4 linked regions of the Arabidopsis thaliana genome follow. The protein of the gene in region 2 interacts with the protein of the main gene of each other region in a biochemical or structural test. Each region holds a gene or a part of one and is shown on either strand. Other genes may lie near its edges. The genes, in order: MPK5, AT1G71450, ATMPK8 and MPK16.

The links.
Region 1: of the proteins of AT1G71450 (region 2) and MPK5, one has a biochemical effect on the other in vitro, tested with the Arabidopsis thaliana proteins (one large-scale study listed by BioGRID).
Region 3: of the proteins of AT1G71450 (region 2) and ATMPK8, one has a biochemical effect on the other in vitro, tested with the Arabidopsis thaliana proteins (one large-scale study listed by BioGRID).
Region 4: of the proteins of AT1G71450 (region 2) and MPK16, one has a biochemical effect on the other in vitro, tested with the Arabidopsis thaliana proteins (one large-scale study listed by BioGRID).

The regions. Positions count from the first base shown.
Region 1 is NC_003075.7:6,890,132-6,894,799, reverse strand, and holds MPK5 (MAP kinase 5), read right to left. Parts: upstream 2,875-4,668; 5' UTR 2,658-2,874; coding exon 2,485-2,657; intron 2,231-2,484; coding exon 2,101-2,230; intron 2,031-2,100; coding exon 1,893-2,030; intron 1,817-1,892; coding exon 1,484-1,816; intron 1,388-1,483; coding exon 1,204-1,387; intron 1,128-1,203; coding exon 955-1,127; 3' UTR 593-954; downstream 1-592. Other genes in the region: AT4G11340 (Disease resistance protein (TIR-NBS-LRR class) family), read left to right, coding at 89-161, 332-592.
Region 2 is NC_003070.9:26,925,475-26,928,603, reverse strand, and holds AT1G71450 (Integrase-type DNA-binding superfamily protein), read right to left. Parts: upstream 1,593-3,129; 5' UTR 1,517-1,592; coding exon 965-1,516; 3' UTR 548-964; downstream 1-547. Other genes in the region: AT1G71460 (Pentatricopeptide repeat (PPR-like) superfamily protein), read left to right, coding at 1-357.
Region 3 is NC_003070.9:6,243,788-6,249,551, forward strand, and holds ATMPK8 (Protein kinase superfamily protein), read right to left. Parts: upstream 4,026-5,764; 5' UTR 3,879-4,025; exon of another isoform or gene 3,805-3,878; 5' UTR 3,796-3,804; coding exon 3,529-3,795; intron 3,302-3,528; coding exon 2,899-3,301; intron 2,807-2,898; coding exon 2,679-2,806; intron 2,577-2,678; coding exon 2,517-2,576; intron 2,359-2,516; coding exon 2,209-2,358; intron 2,097-2,208; coding exon 1,941-2,096; intron 1,850-1,940; coding exon 1,712-1,849; intron 1,598-1,711; coding exon 1,524-1,597; intron 1,437-1,523; coding exon 1,320-1,436; intron 1,230-1,319; coding exon 1,031-1,229; intron 932-1,030; coding exon 854-931; 3' UTR 511-853; downstream 1-510. Other genes in the region: AT1G18160 (Protein kinase superfamily protein), read left to right, coding at 5,339-5,764. UniProt on the Arabidopsis thaliana protein: MKK3-MPK8 and CAMs-MPK8 modules negatively regulates ROS accumulation through controlling expression of the RBOHD gene during wounding.
Region 4 is NC_003076.8:6,344,270-6,350,209, forward strand, and holds MPK16 (mitogen-activated protein kinase 16), read right to left. Parts: upstream 3,999-5,940; 5' UTR 3,408-3,998; coding exon 3,384-3,407; intron 3,228-3,383; coding exon 2,819-3,227; intron 2,731-2,818; coding exon 2,603-2,730; intron 2,511-2,602; coding exon 2,451-2,510; intron 2,309-2,450; coding exon 2,159-2,308; intron 2,090-2,158; coding exon 1,934-2,089; intron 1,851-1,933; coding exon 1,639-1,850; intron 1,555-1,638; coding exon 1,450-1,554; intron 1,368-1,449; coding exon 1,195-1,367; intron 1,114-1,194; coding exon 827-1,113; 3' UTR 501-826; downstream 1-500. Other genes in the region: BPM1 (BTB-POZ and MATH domain 1), read left to right, coding at 1-96, 191-372.

The sequences.
Region 1 (4,668 bases), on a different chromosome or scaffold from region 2:
ATGAGGTCATTTAACAGTAGTTTCTTCCATTTGCGACATTGTTATCATACTTATATGATTTGTTTTCTTTCTTACTTTGTTTTGGAAGCAACCAAGCAACCTTCGTAAATGAAATCGTCGAGAAGGTTAAGGCAATGCTTGACAACGTTTCCTCATCACACGTACGTAATCCTATTAAATCAAAAATTATGTAGTTCTAGAATTAGAGAAATTGAAATATTGCCAATGACAAAGAAAAAAAAAAGGTGTGTACAAAAGAACATACTGTATGTTAATTATATATATATAATTATTGTATAAATCTAGTGGCTAATCATTGTAAAATCTCTAGATTACGCCGCAACATCAAGTTTACATAAGTTTTCGGAGTCGAGAGATCCGCAACAAGTTCTCCAGCCTTCTTAGAGCCGCGTTACGAAGGAGTGGGATCAACGTCCTTCTAGATGATGAAAATATCACTCGAATAGAGTCAAGAGACGAAGTTGATAGACTTTTTTGTCGAGTTTCGAGAGTGAAGGATCGAACTAGTGTTCATTACCAAAATTTGCAAGAGCTCGACGTAGTGCTTGAAGAAACTGCTGGAGATGAATAAACACATCGAGTTTTTCCCATTTTCTACGAGTACAATCCAAGTGACATGATACAAGTCTAAACAAAGATAGCTTTTTAATTTAATTTCTTGAGTTACAAGATAACAACATGATATGTAGAAGAAACAGAACACTATCTAAGACATCCTGATAATAAGAATGGACATAACTACTAAAGATATGTCTTGGGTTACAAGGATCCTTATAGAACAATTTCTTGAGTTGCAAGACAGCTTTTTTAACTAGTGAAATAGCTTAAACAACGATCAACATGAGATGAAGGAGAAACAGAGCTTAAACACTACTAATTTGTTTTGCTCAATGTCAGAGTATAAAACTTGCTTTCCCCTTCTTAAATAATGTTTTAAATGCTCGGCAGAGGATTGAACTTCACAGATTCGAGCCACACAAGCTCCTTTATCTCTTCTTCAGTGGAAGACGGATCCTCAAAATGGAAACTGAAATGGTTGGAACAAACAGGCTCGTCGTTAAGGTCGTGAAGAGCTGACAAGTAAGGATAACACAGTGCTTCCTCAACTGCAAAACAAAGAGTATGATCAAGGATTCATCACCCATATGCCAATCTCGCTATGTACAATTTTTCTCATCATACCCGTGATACGTTTTACTGGATCAAACACGAGCATTTTCTCTAGTAGATCGATAGCTGTAGAATTCATACTAGGAAACCTAGCTGAAAAGTTTTGTCTTGGGAACTTAGGTAGCTCCTTAACATATTTTCTCGCGTTCGCGCTTCTGAGAAACTCTAGACTCGCTCCATCAGGTGATCCTATCAACTACTCAACCACATGAAACAACTCATAAACACATTGCAACACACAAATAAAAGTTTCCAACATTTGTACAGATCTTTCTAAAACAGAACATCATACCTCAGTGATAAGTTTAAGCTGATGAACGTAATCCTTCCCCGGGAAAAGCGGTTCCCTTGTCATAATCTCAGCAAATATGCAACCAACAGACCATACATCAATAGCAGATGTATACTCAGAACTATTAAGAAGCAGCTCTGGTGCTCTGTACCATCGTGTTACAACATACTCTGTCATATACTCTGTTTCTGATGTAGTCCTTGCCAAACCAAAGTCAGTAATCTTAAGATCGCAATTCGAATTCAAAAGCAAATTACTCGGCTTAAGGTCACGATGTAAAACATTTGCTGAATGAATATATTTGAGTCCTCGTAGAATCTGATACAAGAAGTACTGCAAAAGAAGAAAAAGTGAATCACTTGTGATTAAATCAACCATAGTATCAAATATAGCAGAGTAAAAACCGTACCTGACAATGATCATCATTCAAAGATTGGTTTGATCGAATAATCTGATGAAGATCAGTATCCATTAACTCAAAAACTATATAAACATCAACGAAATCTTCCTTCTTTGGTGGTCTAATGATATCTTTTATAACAACAACCTGTACAAGTCAAGACCACATTAGCTAGAAACTCTAATCGTTTACCGCGAAAATAGAGTACAAAACTTACGTTCTCGTGTTCTAAATGACGAAGTAGCTTAATCTCTCTCAATGTTCTCTTTGCATCTACTTTATTATCAAAGGCTTTACCTATCTTCTTTATCGCAATCTCTTCGTGTGTCTCCGAATCTACTGCAGCACTATAACAATAAACCAATACTCTCATGAATCATTTTGCTTATACATAAACACAAACACAAACAAATCATCAAATTCATTCAATTTAAACTATGATTTTGAAGACAGAACCTTTCTTAAATCCAAAAAAGATCAAATTTTGCAAGCAACCCTAATTCAAAAACCTATACCAATACTTAGTTCTTTATCTAATTAGGGTTACAAATACTAAGTAAGAAACAAGAATATGAAATACACAAAAGGGTAGAAGTTGTACCAGACAAAACCGTAAGCTCCTCTACCAATAGGTCGAATAGGAGGAACATACTTATTAGAAACTTCAAACAAGTTTCCATAAACATTGTATTGAAAATATCTTCCTCCATGAACAAGAACTCCTTTGATGTTAGTATCACCTAAATCTGTCGCTGATTCAATTTCCTTCGCCATTTTTTTCAAATATCGAGATAATACAGAAGAAACCCAGAAAATCAAACTTTGAATACAAGATTTTTGGAGATGAGATCGATTCGATTCGTCTCTGCAAAATTAAAATAATGATTTTGTTGAATGTTGAAAACTTTGAAAATCTAAGGAGATAGAGAGAGACGCGTCAGAGGACAACGACTCTTTTTCATTAGTTTGAATATTTTGAATAGGTCAAAACGTATCGTCACATGTCCATCAGCCACGTGTACTTTGTAATAAATACAGATGGGTAAACGTTTGGGCCTGGCCCATCTATTTAATATAGAGAGAGGTATGCTATCAGCTCTGGTCTATGTTATGAGGCCCACGTAATATGAAAGTAAGAGACCTTTTCCTTTTCACCTATCAATACACATCTCTCACTAAAGGAATTCTTCGCAACAGATACTGAGATACAATACAAGTTGGAGTTTAATCTCTCCTCTTCTACTTGATGATTCTCATCCAAAACTACATACTTTCATTCTAAGGTATGTATTCCATATAATCAATTCATACTTTGTGGTGCGAGCGTAATGGTAGACGTCATGGTAACTCTTCTGTTCCTTCGGCCAAGCTTGCAAGTATTATCGACAAGAACGTTAGAAACCGCTCCATCAGCACAATTTGGATCTCGGGAAACTCGGTTTATGAAGAGGGCCTCCACTATTGGTTCCACACCCGTATTCCATAGATTCCTTCAAATGTTATAGTCTCTTCGTTTTCAAACTTTCAACTCAAAGTCACATTCATTATACAATTTTTTTTGGTGAATATCATATTATTCACTTAATATATCAGTAACATCTTATATGTACATATAACAGTTGACATATTAAACCAATATCGAATAGAATGTTATCTTTTACTTAATATATTAATTTATACTATTCACCAAATTGTCATTAAAATTACGTTTTGAACTCTGGAATATCGCGAGTTTACCAATTTACTCATAATCTTCAACTTTTCTATATAAAAAAAAGAAAATTAATATGGATCATATTATACGAGGTTTCTTTTGATAACTTAATCTTTTGAGTCAAATTTACGCAGAACCTAAATATAATTAACTTGTGATGCTCAAACTACAACCCTTAAAATACCCTAAATTGTTCAATATTTTCCTCGTAAAATACCCCATATCTAACTCAAATCACTCGCACTTACACATCAAATATGACTAGGCCGACACAATATAATATATATCCAATAATTACATGTTATTTAATTGGTACGACAATCTCCGACAACGATACCATTACCAATACCAATCTCTTTTAGCCATATTCATGCTAAAAGTGTAGTGGCAGATCCAATTCACTTTTATTATTGATCTTCTCCACTGATTGGCTTAATTTGATGTGGCATTCAATTAGATTAATTAGATCTCCAACATTATCCATGCTTTATAACTCATGACTCACGTGACTGTTTTTTTTCCCTCAAGTTTTGTTTCGTTTATCTTCACAATATTTTTAGATATCCTAAATTGAAAACATAATAGACATGATTGTTGAATTATGTAGGTAAATCTCTCAGTTAGAAATACTGGGTTTGAGGCATGTTGGAAGAGATTTCTTTCCCAAAGGATATGAATTTAATCTGGTGTGGATCCCGCCTCTAGAAAATGTAAGGTCTTTGAGTTTGAATTTCCAGATATTCAAAAAAAATAAAAAAACAAAAAGACAACAACTCTAAGCATAATAATTTACTCAAGTTGATATGTGGTGAACTATTCAATGTGAAACGTTTGCGCTCTATTATTGGTATGCTGTATTATTAGTGTGACGGTATGACACAACGGAACTTCCAATATATATGTTGTACAATTCTAAATTGGATTTTACCGGGGGAAAATATCTTGATCAAGTACGAAATATGAGTGGCTTGAGTGTATTGTATATTTGTATGTATATGGATACTAATAAATAATCTTTGTTCCGTGGGAAAAGATTGTGTAATTTTTGGTTCATAGTAACAAGATTAAGAA
Region 2 (3,129 bases):
AGTGCTAATTTCTCTTTCGATGCTGTTGCTGTCAAGGGCTCTCTGACATGGACCGCCATTATAGAGGCTTATGGATGCAATGAACTCTTCAGGGATGCAATAAACTGTTTTGAGCAAATGGTATCAAGAGGGTTTACTCCCAACACCTTCACATTTACAGCAGTTTTATCTATTTGCAGTCAAGCCGGATTTGTTGATGAAGCTTATCGCTTCTTCAACTTGATGCTCCGGATGTACAATTTGCAGCCATCAGAAGAGCATTATTCACTGGTCATTGAACTTCTCAATCGGTGTGGTCGTGTTGAAGAGGCACAAAGACTTGCGGTCATGAGTTCCTCGTCATCCCTACAGACCTGACTGCAGATTCAGACATCTTCTTTGCTTTTTCTCAAAGCCACCAAGTAAGTTGCTCGAAGAGTTATGAGAAGTATATTCTGTTCTCTTGTTTCCAAGAACTTGCATTAATAGTGCTGTATATACTGAATTTGGTTCCAGAATGATTGAATTTTGTTCAACTTGTAAAAATCTTGCAGTATCAAATGTAGAGTTTTCTTAAGATTAGTTAAGGGAAGAAAGTCAAGAGAGAACACAAGTCTAGTAAGAATAAAATATCTTATAGCTTTCAGGAAACCATTCAATATTATATCAAATCAAATACATCAATGAGGTAACAAACAATTGTAAAAAATAATAATAAGTCACACCTCATAATCTATGTTTCTACTAGTAACAAAAAAATTTAAAAATATTTGTGAAGAGGTCCTTTCAGGGACCCATCAAGCTCATAGAGTCTTTCCCTCCAAAATCTGATGAGCTTTATTCTTTGCTATAACGTCAGAATCAACAACCCTTGTGGTAGACTCTGAAAACTAAACTTCAATAAATTTAAGTATTCTAAGCCAGTAACTTATGCTGGTATTGTAAGATTGAGCTGTAGAAGCTCTCCATGAGTTAGGTTTTGGGGTTAAGGGTCCCAAAGAAAGTCACTCTGGTATGTTTCCCAAGCATTCATCTCCACATCATTAGCAAACTCCATAGGGTCGTATGTTGAATGCATCATTGTAGTAGGAGATCCCAAAGTTGACTCGTTGATCGCTTGAATTTCCCTGGGCGAGAGTCTGACCATTGTTGGAGCTACATTGGAGGAGCTTGAGCTGTCCACTTGCATGGCTGACTCTGTTCCTTCGGTGGTGCGGCAGAGTGTTGCCTCATGAACTGCCATGCGAATGCTGTCTGAGCTAGAGTCTGCAGGACGTGGAAGGCTGCTGGCGAGCTCAGGGAAGTTGAGACGAGCTTCTCTCCCTCTGAAATGAAATGCTGCCACGTCGTATGCGGTTGCAGCCATTTCAGGAGTCTCGAAACTGCCTAGCCAGATACGGTTCTTGGTCCCCGGTTCACGGATTTCAGACACCCATTTCCCCCATTTTCTCTTCCGGACTCCTCTGTAGGCAGATGGTACACCTTTGCCATCGTTTTGCGCTTTGTCGCTGTTACCGGAATTCCTAAGACCAGCCATGAACACACACACACACGCACACAAAGTTTTTGCTCAAGAGTGTTTGTTGTTTTTGTATTTTGTATTTTGTCTGTTTGGATTTTGATGTTGGAATGTTTGTAACTGTCAGCACTTATTTATAGGTGTGGATTAGTATCTTAACAGCAGATAAACTCCTGTGTACTCGTTTTAAAATCTCAAAGCCTCCAAAGTTAGCTTCGAGGAAACTTCAAAATTGTTATGGGCCTTTGTGGGTGTAACAAGTGTTATCTATTTAGTATCAATGCACTGTAGATTCCCTCAAATAGTAATATGAGTAAACTAATGAGAGGTTTTAGGAAAGAGGCAGAATATTAAGGTTTTGTTTTAAGAGATTGGATTTGCTATAGTAGACGCGGTTTTCTTGCATCATCTATGGGACCCTTTTGTGATCCATTCCATAACTTTGTGATGCTAAGAGTTGGTGCAAAAGTGGGATTTATCCTAAAACAAATGTCAAAGCTCATTGGGTCATAATAATCTTCCTTTTCTTGAGTCAATTGATCAATTAAAACATTGGTCGTAATATAAAAAAACATTGGTAATAATTTATTTTACTAATCAAGCTTACTAATTCTAAGACATTTTGGTTGCTTCAAGGATGAAATTTTGATCCCTAGCATCTATCTACAAGATATGCCCTTAATCATTAGGCTACCACATTTGATTGATTACCACATTTGAATTTTATTGATAGTTCTTTTGTGTGATCAATATATATGAGTTAAAAAAAAAAATCTAACTATGTGTAGCTTTATTTAGTCTGATTTTATTTTTTAGATTTTAGATTCCATTATATAGTCATAGATTGTGGCAAATATCTCTCTCTCTTTTTTTTTAATAAAGAAGTAAACAAAATATCTCTTAAGCTTTGGAATTATGCATTTTTGTTATCAATGAAGTTTTTTTTTAGTCGGACATTATCACTGAAGTTAGACAACTAGATGCTCTTAGACTGCTTTAGTTGACTCAACACATACGATAATAAATGATCATTTAATGTTCAATCTTTTTTTTTAATTGATTGTGCGCCTCGATAAATTATTTTTAAATTTCGTTCCTACTAAAACATGACATTCTTAATTCTTTGAATATAATGTTTTGTCTAATTCTCATATATGATATTTTTTAAAATATTATGGTTTGCTATTTGATTATATATATATATATATATATGTCTATATATATACAAATATTATCAGTGATAATATTTTAGATAGTTTCCCATGTATCTAAATATCTAATATATATTGTTTCATCTTAACACGTTTAGAAAATGAGTTATATACGTTGGGTAGTTGCTTGCGTAGTGTTTTATTTTTTAAAACAGTTGTTGCAACCATTTGAGATATATCGGCCTATGCTTTAAAACAAATATTACATTTCTTTGCATCACGGTCTTTTAAGTAAGACGGTTTAGACAATTTTTTGTTTTGTTTTGAGTAATAGAACGAACGTGTATAAAATCACATCTCTGTCTGCTTTGCATGAGTGTCGGAGGGAAGAGTCTTGGTTTGAAAAGGATAGCTTTTTGTTTTCTCTGGCGGAAAAGACAGAAGATATAAAGTTAACTTGAAATGAGACAGAAATAGAGG
Region 3 (5,764 bases), about 21 Mb from region 2:
TCAAATTCCAAAGTTTGGCGGCATGATCCATTAGTATAATGTTAGTTTTTTTTCACTTTTAAACATGCACAAATTCAATTAGTATTTCTACTAAATAATGTAAAAACAGTGTAGCCTAATTGCTTTAACCAATCTGGCGTCTGTGGACTTTGTTCGCCATATATACATCAACTTTTTGCAGTTTCTTTTTCTTATCGAGACTGTAGTTTGGAGTTGGTGAGTAAGCTCCCTGGAGCTCACTTTACTCGACCATACCATTATTTCTGACCTCTTTTTCAAAAACCCGATTTTGTTCATTTTTTTTCTTCTTCTTTTTGTCGTTTTATTTATTTTATTTTGTCGTTATGAGATTAGTCCAAGAATGGTATCAATTCAGATGGACCATGGAATATAAATAATAGATATTAGGTTAGTCTTCGTCATTAAAAAGCCAACTAACACAGCATTATTATTATGTGTGCTAATTTTTTAGTCTTATCTTTTTTACTTTTAAGAAGTCGAGTATGTTCTTCAGGTTAATATAATTTATTATATAAGACCCAATATCCCGGTTTGACCTGGACCGGATCATACCAATCACACAAACTCTCCCAAAGTACTGAAGCAAAGTGAATACTGAATAGTATATAAATAATTTCAAAATATGAGTGTTTAAAGAAAAGAGAGAAACAAAAAAATTACATGGAGATCGATGTTTTTATTTAAAGTTTCATCAAACCCCCAAAACTATTAAATACAACAAATCAAACCCAACCACGAAGATAGATGTGGATGAATGGAGAAACCAATTTCTTTTCACCAGAAAACTTTCGTGAAAAAAGAAAAGAAAAGAAAAAAAATAACTAAATCATTTTTAAGAATTGTGAAGAGAAGCAACTTTATCAGTAAGCTCTGCAACTGTTTCATTATCTTCTTCCTCAGCTATGGTATCCTGCAAACAAAGAGAAAAGAACAACAGTAAGCAAACTTCATCGTCATGTTCCTTTTCAAGATCTTCTGTTTTTCTTTCTTTCTTTCTTTACTAACTAACCTCTTTGTCAGTTTTAGATTGGACACCAATGCATTTAGAACCGCTGATGCTTGCACTCTTCATGAGGTTACGAGCACTGTAACCTCCTCCATTGTCTGCTTCCTCGGATTCCAAGGTTGAAGCCACAGCAGCTGCTGCTCTTCTCTCAACATCACTGCTTTCTTCTGCAGTTTCACCATTTGGAGCAGGAACTCTCTCTCTGCAACATCATCATAGAGAAGCACAATGCTCTCAGAGGGAGATTGAGAAGAGAAGAGAAGAGATAGAGAGATTCTGTGAAAGACATTACCTTGGCAAGGAAGCATGATGTCTGTGAAGTGCAGTACTTCTTCCTCCTCCTGCTGCTCCTGGTTTACCTTGATTTTCTTCAAGATGAGCAAATTGCCTTTTAAATCGGTCTACCCCACTGCGCGTAAACAACAAAAAGATTTATCGAGTTCATAACTTTCTGTTTTCAAGACTTATAGTTTCTGTTAACTGTTAATTAGCTAACCTTGGGTACATAAAGCTAAGCTGATCACCACCACGAAGGTATTCCTCCAACATCTGAGGATGATATTCCAATATCTGATATTTACAAAATCCAAAGAAAAGTGATTGTTAGGATCAATGAATAACATTGAAACAAATTCAGATTAAAGAAAAGGATATATGTAGAAGGCTTTTGTGTTTGTTTGTTACCTCTCGGTAAATTAATTCTCTGACATCATCTTTAACTAACTTCTTTCTCTCAAAGTCAAATTCAAGCTTTGAAATTGGCTGTGTTGTTGGTTCACGCTCTGAATTTGACAAACCACTGAAATATGGATCAGCTAGTGCCTGTAATATGAAAATCAAAAACGACGAATATAAGAGTTTCGTTCTGTATAAAACAAAAGGGAAAAGTAAAGCAAATTTACTTCTCACTTACATCTTCAGCTGATGCACGATCTTTCGGATCAAAGGCAAGCAGGCGTTCCAGAAGGCGGAGAGCCAAAGGATCAGCTTTAGGGAATTTATGAGAGAAAGGGACTGGTTGTTTTTTCCTCATGCTGCTAAGATATCTCCTCGCCTTTTCATTTCTAATCTGTAGAAGTCCAAGATTGCAAAGCTCATTACAAGGATTAAATTACTCTCAATGATGTATGGAACATTAAATTTGCTACAGAAAATATGAACAAGTGTTTTGAGTGACTAACCCTTGATATTGACTCAGGAGGTGGAGTACCAAGAAAGTCAGTCATTAGATCCAATTGGTGCACAACGTTTTTCCCGGGAAACAAAGGCTTACCCAAAAGCATTTCCGCAAAAATGCAACCGACACTCCAGATATCAATCGCAGGGGTATACTGAAATATAACAAGAGTAGACTTAGCTTGAGATGGCTGGTCTTCTCAACAACACTATAGAACCACACAACAATATTCTACAAAATAGAAAACTAGAAGCATTTTCCTGGTAGGGAGAAATAGCAAGAGTAGTTGGGTTTGGTGAAAAAGAATCTTACTTTGGAGAAAAACGATCCACAGAGTTCAGGGGCACGATACCACCGAGTAGCTACATAATCCTACAAAATCCATATAAACGAAATGAGCTCACAAGCATTTGAAAATAGTTAAGAGGAAGCCTAATGAACAGTTTTGCTTTCACATTGAGTTAGATGACTCACAGTCCAAAATATAGCGGTTGGGGCATCGTTAAAAGAAACGCGAGCCAGCCCAAAATCACAGATCTTCAATTTGCAATCAGCATTAGCTAGAATGTTCTTCGGTTTCAAATCCCGATGAAACACATTAGCTGAAAACAGAGAACCCTTAAGTGTTTCAATATTATCTATAACAAAAATCATGAGGATCGAAAGAGACCAATGTGTAAAACCAGAAACTAACCTGCGTGAACATATTTCAGACCACGAAGAAGCTGGTACAAGAAAAACTGATAATGCTCAGGAGTCAAATCATCATTCGCCTTGATCACTTGATGAAGATCAGATTCCATCAACTCAAAGACAACATAAATATCGCGGAATTCTCTGCGAGAAGGAGGTAACATGATGTGTTTAATCTCCACAACATCAGGATGACGAAGCAACCGAAGCAATTTGATCTCTCTGAGAATCCTAGTAGCATCGGAGACATGCTCAAACACATCGTTGATCTTCTTGATCGCAACTCTCTCTCCAGTGTGTGAGTCAACAGCAGAAGCCACAACACCATAACTTCCTTTGCCAACAACCTCTTGAATCTGATACCTGTTAGCTTCTCCATACTCCGTGAAGAATTCAGTTTCACCCTGAAGAATTTTATTCATGATTCATACTTAAAATTGACCAAAATGATGGATCAAGACAATAAGATCAATCAAACGAAACACAAAACTGAAACTTTATCCTTTTGTGGAAGCAAATGCAATAACACAGAACATTAAGAGAACAAAACAAGTCTCTTCAATCTCAATCAAAAGACAACATCTAAGAGCAAATAGCATAAAAGGGTAGAGAAGGAGAAGAAGAAAGGTACCTTCTTGTGAGGATCCATAGGTAAATGATTACGTTTAGGAACGTTAATAAGCGTTAGACCAGAGAAATCGAGATCTTCTTCAATAATAAGCTCTCCAGAGTTAGCGGAATGATTGGGGTTAGAGGAAGAAGAGAAAGAAGAAGAATTGAAAATGGGTTGTTCGTGATTATTATTATTATTGTTGGAAGAAGAAGAAGAAGAAGAAGAAGAAGGTCGCTGAAAAAGCCATCGACGAACACCGTCGACGAGATTCCCACCACCACCCATAGACCACTACTAGATTAGAAAAGAAAAAGATTAGTAATTTACAAAATTGGGTATCCGAAATTCCTTGAGAGCCAAACAATTACCGTCAAGTCACCGTCTTTCTCGCCGCGTCTCTCGGTTTTGTCCTTCGGAGTTGGAGACCATGTTCTTCTCCTATTTTTTCATTTTTTTTTTAATTTTCTTTTTATGTTTTTTTCATTATTTATGCTCAGATATTTATTTTTTTCCCCTGCTTGATTATTAGAGAGAGTGAGTGGAGGGAGAAGAACAAAATATTTAAACCTTTGGAATATTTCGACGACCCGGTTTGTCTATACCGGTTAATGATAACCTGATTCGGGCATATGCATTTATTGAGTATATGGGCCTACAAAGCGGCCCATACAATAAATGTATTTTCGTTCAATCACTAAACGGATTAAACTCAACCGGACAAGGTTCGAAATTAAGAAGATGTTAGATGTTACATTACAAACCGGAATTAAAAGTCTAATTATGAATCTGAGACACAAAAAAAGAGAGAGTAAAAACGCCTTGCTCGTTCGGTCGCGTTGATGATATGAACATATATTTCATCATGAGCTGAGCAGGTCCAGGAGTCTGTTGCGGTTCGAGCACATCATAGTTATTGGGTCATAAATGAATCCGACAGTAGCGTAATCTAAGCATTTTTTAGTGAATAATACGCTTGATGATATATGTGATATGTCATGGGAGGATAATGCATAAGGTGGTGAGCGAAGCATTTTTTCAGCCAAAAAGACAAAATTTTATTTGAATAAATGATATCAAACAAATCCAGATACGCGAAGGAATATTGAATATGGAAAGCACGATCGTAAACAATTCTGCGATTTATCATTTCTTATTTTTTTTAACAAAATGTACGGTTTTGCATGATATATTTGCATTAAAAATGAATTGGTAAGTTTTTAAATAGCTCTATATTTGCATTAAGCTTTGACTGATTGTACAAAAAATAGAGTAATTTTTTAATTACAGTAGCAAAAAAAAGCAAAACAAAATTCAATTCTCTCCAGCTCAAAAATCCACTCTTCATCCTCTACTATACTCGTATCTATCTATCTACTCTACTCTGTTTTACGTAAGTTTTTTTTAGTTGATTTTCTTTTGTCGGACTTTAAGAGAGAGAAAGTGGCGTCTTTGTGGACTTTCTCAATTCAGGAGAGAGTCAAAGAGAAGGAAGAGGCTTCGCTTACTTGCTGAGAAAAAAGCTCCAAACTTTCTCTTATTGGGTTTTTGATCAGCTCCGGAGATAAAAAAAAAAAGTATTTTCTTGAAATCGAAATCTGATCTCCATTGAGAGTCTTGCTACTTGATTTGGATTCCGATTTAAGGTTTTCTCGAGAATTCTTTTGCTGCAGTTATTAGATTTTGACGAGCCGTTGATCTGGACGGAGTTCCAGATCTCCGGGTCGTGGTACCAAGGAATTAGGGTTTTAGCACAAAGTTCTCGTTTTTCTGTGTATTCGAGGGATGAAGGAGTTTTCGGGTCGATGTTCGCTGCTCTAACATTTGGAGTATGAAGATGAACATGAAGAAATTTCTCAAAAAGCTTCGTATCACGCCCAATCAACGAGACGATGGTGAAGGTTCAGTCTCTAACAGAAGCAATAAGTCTAGTGATGCAGAACCATCTCCTTCTGATTCATTGAGGTCTCAAGATAACTCTGAATTCAAACCCTTTTTGGGTTTATCAAATTGGTTAAGCTCTGTTACTCACAGGAAAAGCCCTTCTTCTTCCAATGCCACCAATAGCAAAGAGGATGACACTACCATGGAACATGGTGGTCCCGTTGGGTCGGAATCTGGGATGCAGGGTTTGGGTTCTAGTAGTAATTCCAAGGATCCAGAAGTTGAAGAAGAATATCAGATACAGTTGGCTCTAGAGTTAAGTGCTAGGGAGGATCCTGAAGCTGCTCAGATTGAGGCTATGAAGCAGTTCAGC
Region 4 (5,940 bases), on a different chromosome or scaffold from region 2:
CGGTTGCAACTACTTTGGCCCTAGCAGAGCAGCATCATTGTTTGCAGCTAAAAGCAGTGTGTCTCAAATTCGTGGCACTGCCAGAGAACCTGAAAGGTAAACACACAAGATCTTTCTTTTTAATCGATCTGAATCAACTCTGTTCACATGATGAGACTTGTGTCTGTTTTTTCCCTTTTGTTATGATCAGCTGTGATGCAAACAGATGGGTTTGATTATCTGAAAGAGAGTTGCCCATCTTTACTAACGGAGCTATTGCAGTATGTGGCGAGGCTAAGTGAACACTCTGTTATAGTATCTGGACATCGAAAAGAAATATTTGCCGATGGTTGTGACGCGAGTGGAAGACGAGTGAAGCCCCGGTTGCACTGAATGGGAGAGAAAGAAGAAAGATTTGTGCATTGTATAATCTCTGTTATGGATAATGGCTGATCTAATCGGATCTAGCAAGTACAATGAATCGTTTTCAACGCGTTTTCTCATAAATCAAAGATCCAATGAAATTTGGGGTTTATTGTTGGTGCATATCAGATTATTAGGTGAAACAGATTGAGTTCATGGGATATAAGAATCGTAGACAGTGTAAGTGTTACAACGTAGATAAACAAAGGTTGTTTTAAGAATACAAAACTATGAAGACAAATTACATGACAGGATCTGTAAGAACTTCTTTTATCTTCTCACGCTTCCTTCTCTCATTTCGCTCTTAAGCATGTCTTCACGTTTCGGCTCTTGATAACACAATGGATGACTCAAAGGGATACTCTTTTTAGCTCTCCCTGAGACGTGAGGTGGTAAAGCTAAAACTAGAACCATAACATCATGTTTAATACCAGCGACTCATTGCAGTATCTTGTGCTGCAGACACTTTTTGTGGTATATACTGAGTGTTTGGCTTCAATCTACTTGGACCTTCAGCAGCGGTGGCGCAATCTTCATCTCCTCTGTTGCTTTTGCAAGGTTGAGTCCTCTTTGGGTATTGAGACGCAGCAGCTGGATTTCTGACCATCCTTCTCTGTTGTTGTTCAAGAGCTTCAACGCCTGTGGCTGCGCCGCAGTTGTTATAGCGTAACACTGATCCAACTACTTTACCAGGCCTAGCTACTGCAGCACCTGCTTCATTACAACCAGATAAATGTTCAGGAGACAGAGTTATTCTGCATCATAACATTATATACAGAGAGGGTGAGAGACCTTGGATTGTTTGAGGGACGTTGATAGGAATTCTCGACATTGGCATCTGGGCATTCCTGTCTGCACCCCGAGGTCTCTCGTCTCTAATGCTACACTTGGAGAGTCCATCAGTGACTTCAGCTGAACTCTGTTGTGCCACCGGATGATTGTTATCAGAGTACAATACGCAAGCCCTGCAAAACATAAAAAGAGGCTTTGTTGAGCTGTTTCGAAAGAATCCCAAATGATCAAATTTTTAAAGGACGTAAAGCATACCTTGGTAATGATGCATGCTGTTGCCTCTCAGGGGGATTATGAGAAGTACCATTCTTGTAGTGTTCCTCGAGGTAAGCAAATTGTTTCTTGAAATGTTCCACCGCACTGCAGAATGAATAATACATTAACCATAAGAACATGGATAATACACAGGAGTATAGTATGAAGCAGGTCAGCTCAGGCCGGTACCTCGGGTACATAAAGTTAGTTGGCTCTGATCCATCCAAGTATTCTTTCAGCATCTTTGGGTGGTACTCCAGAGACTCTCTGTATATGAGCTCTCGGACGTCTTCTTTTGTGATCCTCCGCCTTTCAAACTCAAATTCCAACTTTGTGACAGGTTGAGCAGAAGGCTCTCTTTCAACCTTAGCTAAACCCTTGAAGTACACATCTGCAAGCGCCTGAGGTAACACATAAAACCATTTAGTTAGCTATAACCAAAGTTACATCATAAGGAGTGTAAAGAACGAAATGTATGAACCACCTCTTCAGCTGTAGGCCGGTCCTTGGGTTCAAAAGACAACATCTTTTCTAGAAGACGAAGAGCAAGAGGATCAGTATGTGGGAACTTATGTGAAAAAGGAATAGGCTTCTTCTTCCTCATGCTGCTCAAGTATCTTCGAGCTTTCTCGTTCCTAACCTGTTTCAGTGTAAGAAATTCAGCCAAAAAAAGAAACAATGCTTAAGCATTGTGGAAAGGAACACATACCCTTCCAATGGCTTCAGCAGATGGAGTTCCCAGCATATCCGTCATCAGATCCAATTGATGGACCACATTTTTCCCGGGGAAAAGAGGTTTCCCTGTTAAGAGTTCTGCAAAAATGCACCCGATGCTCCATATATCTATTGCCGGTGTATACTGAACAGAAGCATAGATAAAGAAAAAAAATGTTACCATAAAATTTTATAATCTGAATGAGAGAGCTATAGTGTCTACTGACTAGATTCCCTATGAAAATTTGAAACATTCGATGAAAGTATATATACAAAATCATGGTCACCTTTGAGAAAAAAGATCCACATAGTTCTGGAGCCCTGTACCATCGAGTAGCTACATAATCCTGCGATCAGAAAGCAGTAGGAATAAAAAATTGGTTTCATACCAAAAAGAGTAAACTTGTAAAGAGTAAGCATTTAAATTACTACTACTCACAGTCCAGAATATCGCAGTCGGTGTATCATTGAATGCGACTCTTGCAAGTCCAAAATCACAGATCTTGAGTTTGCAATCAGCATTTGCCAATATGTTTTTGGGTTTAAGATCCCGATGAAAGACATTAGCTGAAAGGAAGAGAAAAAAAAAGTATTTTCAGAAAGATAATCATAAACTTATACTAATCAATGAAATTTTATTGCTCGCTAGCTTAACCTGTGTGTATATACTTGAGGCCACGAAGAAGCTGATAGAGGAAAAACTGATAATGCTCAGGAGTCAAATCATCATTTGCCTTAATAACCTGATGCAAATCAGATTCCATAAGCTCGAAAACCACGTAAATGTCTCGAAACTCTCTTCTTGAAGGCGGCAACAAGATGTGTTTGATCTCAACAATGTCAGGATGGCGTAAGAGTCTAAGAAGTTTGATCTCACGAAGAATGCGAGTTGCATCCGAAACATGCTCAAAGATATCATTGATTTTCTTAATCGCAACTTTCTCTCCGGTATGTGTATCGTAAGCAGAACAGACAACTCCATAACTTCCTTTACCAATCACTTCCTCTATTCTGTATCTGCTTCCTTCACCATATTCCGTGAAGAAATCTACCTCAACTGATGACTGAATATACAGAAAAATCTATTGTCAATATCAAAAGCTTCAATACAGAGAAAGATTAGGACTAAACTAAAAGGCAGTAACAGTAAAAAGGATTGCTACAGATCCTAATCAGTTCTAATAAGCAAATCTGATACATAAGAGATTGAAAAATTGGACCTTTTTGCGGTGATCAGGCTGCATCTTCAGCTACAGGGCATTCAAAGGACGCTTACGAAGACCAAATGTAATAGCTTCTGAAACCCAAACTTAGTGAGCTTTTGAATCAAAAAAATGCAAAGACTGAGAATTTTAGTTCCAAAGGCAATGTCAAAAACAGAGAGCTCTATATCCAAATCCCGAAATCCAGAATCGATTGAAACAAATCAGAGTAGTTCCCGAGACCAAAAAAAAGGAGGCAAATTTATGGGGTGAAACAAGGAATAACCTAATCGAGATTTCTTTGCTTTTTGAAGTGAAATCAAAGAGATCAAAAGAAGGAAGCGATGGGTAATTTGAGAATCACTGAGATTGAAGAAAGACGAGGTTTTTATCTTCTTCGATCAATCTCTCTGCTTGAAATGGCTAAAAGGAAAAAGGAGAGAGTTTTTGAAAGTCGAGAGAAGCTTTTATGGTTCAGAAACCCAAAAATGATTCTTTTGAGCTAATAAAATTTCTTTACAGGATCTGAAATCTCACGAAGCAGACGAAGAGGCAAGTTTATTTGCTCACTTTTGTAGAAGAAAGTGTAGAGAGGAGAGATCTATGAGATGAAGAACAGAACAGAACAAATTATTAAAATATTATTATTATTCGTTTCTTTTATTGTGATAATTGAAAAAAGCGGATAAGTGGAGTCTGATTATCGTTGTACGAAAACTCCAATTTGCCCCCCAAGGTTTATGGGTACTTGCGACTTTTGTCTTAAATCTAGCTTTTGGATAATGTCCAAACGTCGAATATAATACAGTGTGGATATTTTTGTATAAACTATTTTAATATATGCTCTTCTTAATGAATAGATATCCGATTTATTATGGATTAGTGATGACTTATAATTATTACAATAATAAATAGTTCGTTTACTTTATAATTTTCTTTCGTGTCATAGTCGTTGTTAAAGACATATAAATGAAGTGGATTATCCTATATTTCGAATCCGATTGAAATGAGTGGTTTAAATTTTTTTTCGTATGCAGTTAATGAGTAATCTTACTTATTTTTAAGATATAGAATTTGACCGATAAGACATACTTAATTATCTAGAGACAATATTTATGAGTTATGTACAATGGTACAAGAAACTTACAAAAACTTATATATGCAATCGTCAATCTAGTATTTTATTTGAAATATGTATTTCGTATCTAATATCTTCTGTCTTTGGTGGGTTCTTTGAAATTGCTTCATAACTGTAGGTGCTTGCATGCGTAAACTTTTGCATGGTTGGAAAAATTGCATTTGCATCGATTTCAAACGTATAAATAAAGCGAAGCTTTAAATCTTCAAGTAGATGTCACTACAAGAAAACACGCCAGTTGCGAGGGAAGAAACCGTCGCTAGTCTCTCGCAAAAAGCATTTAGCGAGGGAATTGCGACGAACTCCAGTTCCTCGCAAAACGCGCGTCGTAAAATCAAATTCGTAGCAAGTTCCTCGCAAATGTTGCGAGGAACAAGTTGCCTCGCAAAACACACGCAATTTGCAAGGGAAGCAATCCGTAGCAAATTCACAGCAAATTTCGGGTCTCGCAAGTTTCTCGCTAGTTGCGACGGACGACCAGACTCGCGAAGCACACGCAATTTGCGAGGGACGTACTCGGTAGCATATTAGCTGCAACAGTAGCCTCGCTCTTTCCTCGCAAGTTGCGAGGGAATACTTCAGTAGCAAAGTAGTCGCAAATTCTTTGTCCCGCTAATGCCTCGCAAAATTTGCGATGGATTTGCGTGGCTTTTATCTGTAGTCGCAAATCCGTAGTAAAGTTTGCGATGGATTCGCGGTAAATAAGCGACTCTTTTCTGTTTTGTTTTAAGCATGATTACTGTTGAATATAGGGATTACTGTTCTACTTAACAATATTTAATGGTTATCTTAATTGGATTTTTATACTAAACTTTGAAGTTGAATACTAATTAAGAAACCTTAAACTCATATTTAAAAGCTGAAATTTTAGGTTTCAAGTACAGAAAAAGAAACTGAATACAGAATGTTAGAAGGCCAAATAATTTTACATAACAAACCAACAAAAGATTCAAGTTTTGATGAGTGAAAAAGAAACTTAATACAGAATGTTAGAAAGCCTCAGATGGAGATGACCCAGTGTTTGGGTTAGCTACAACAGCCTCAGGTTCGACAGCTTCAGGTCCGATCCCAGCAGTTGTGGCATTAGGCGCATCAGGTGGATTGGAGCTGACTGGTTCAGTTCTTGAAGAGGATCTGACTCGAAACAAGGCAGCAAACTCTGGATCCTTCTTGGCAAGGTAATCAAAGTATGCGTCAAAACTGGTGATCTTCTCAGCCTGGTTTGCAATGAGGGCTTCAACAGCAGCCAGCTTCTGGGAAAGCACAACCGGATCATCTCGAGGAAGCACCGGTCCGGCATGCGCCGAAGACGCCTCATGCTGCAATGAACCAGCCCCATAAATCCTGCCTTTCTTCTTAGGAGCAACCTGTCACAAACTCATAACCAAAACAAGCAAACATGATCAAAGCAAAGTCGAAACATATAGACATAATGCA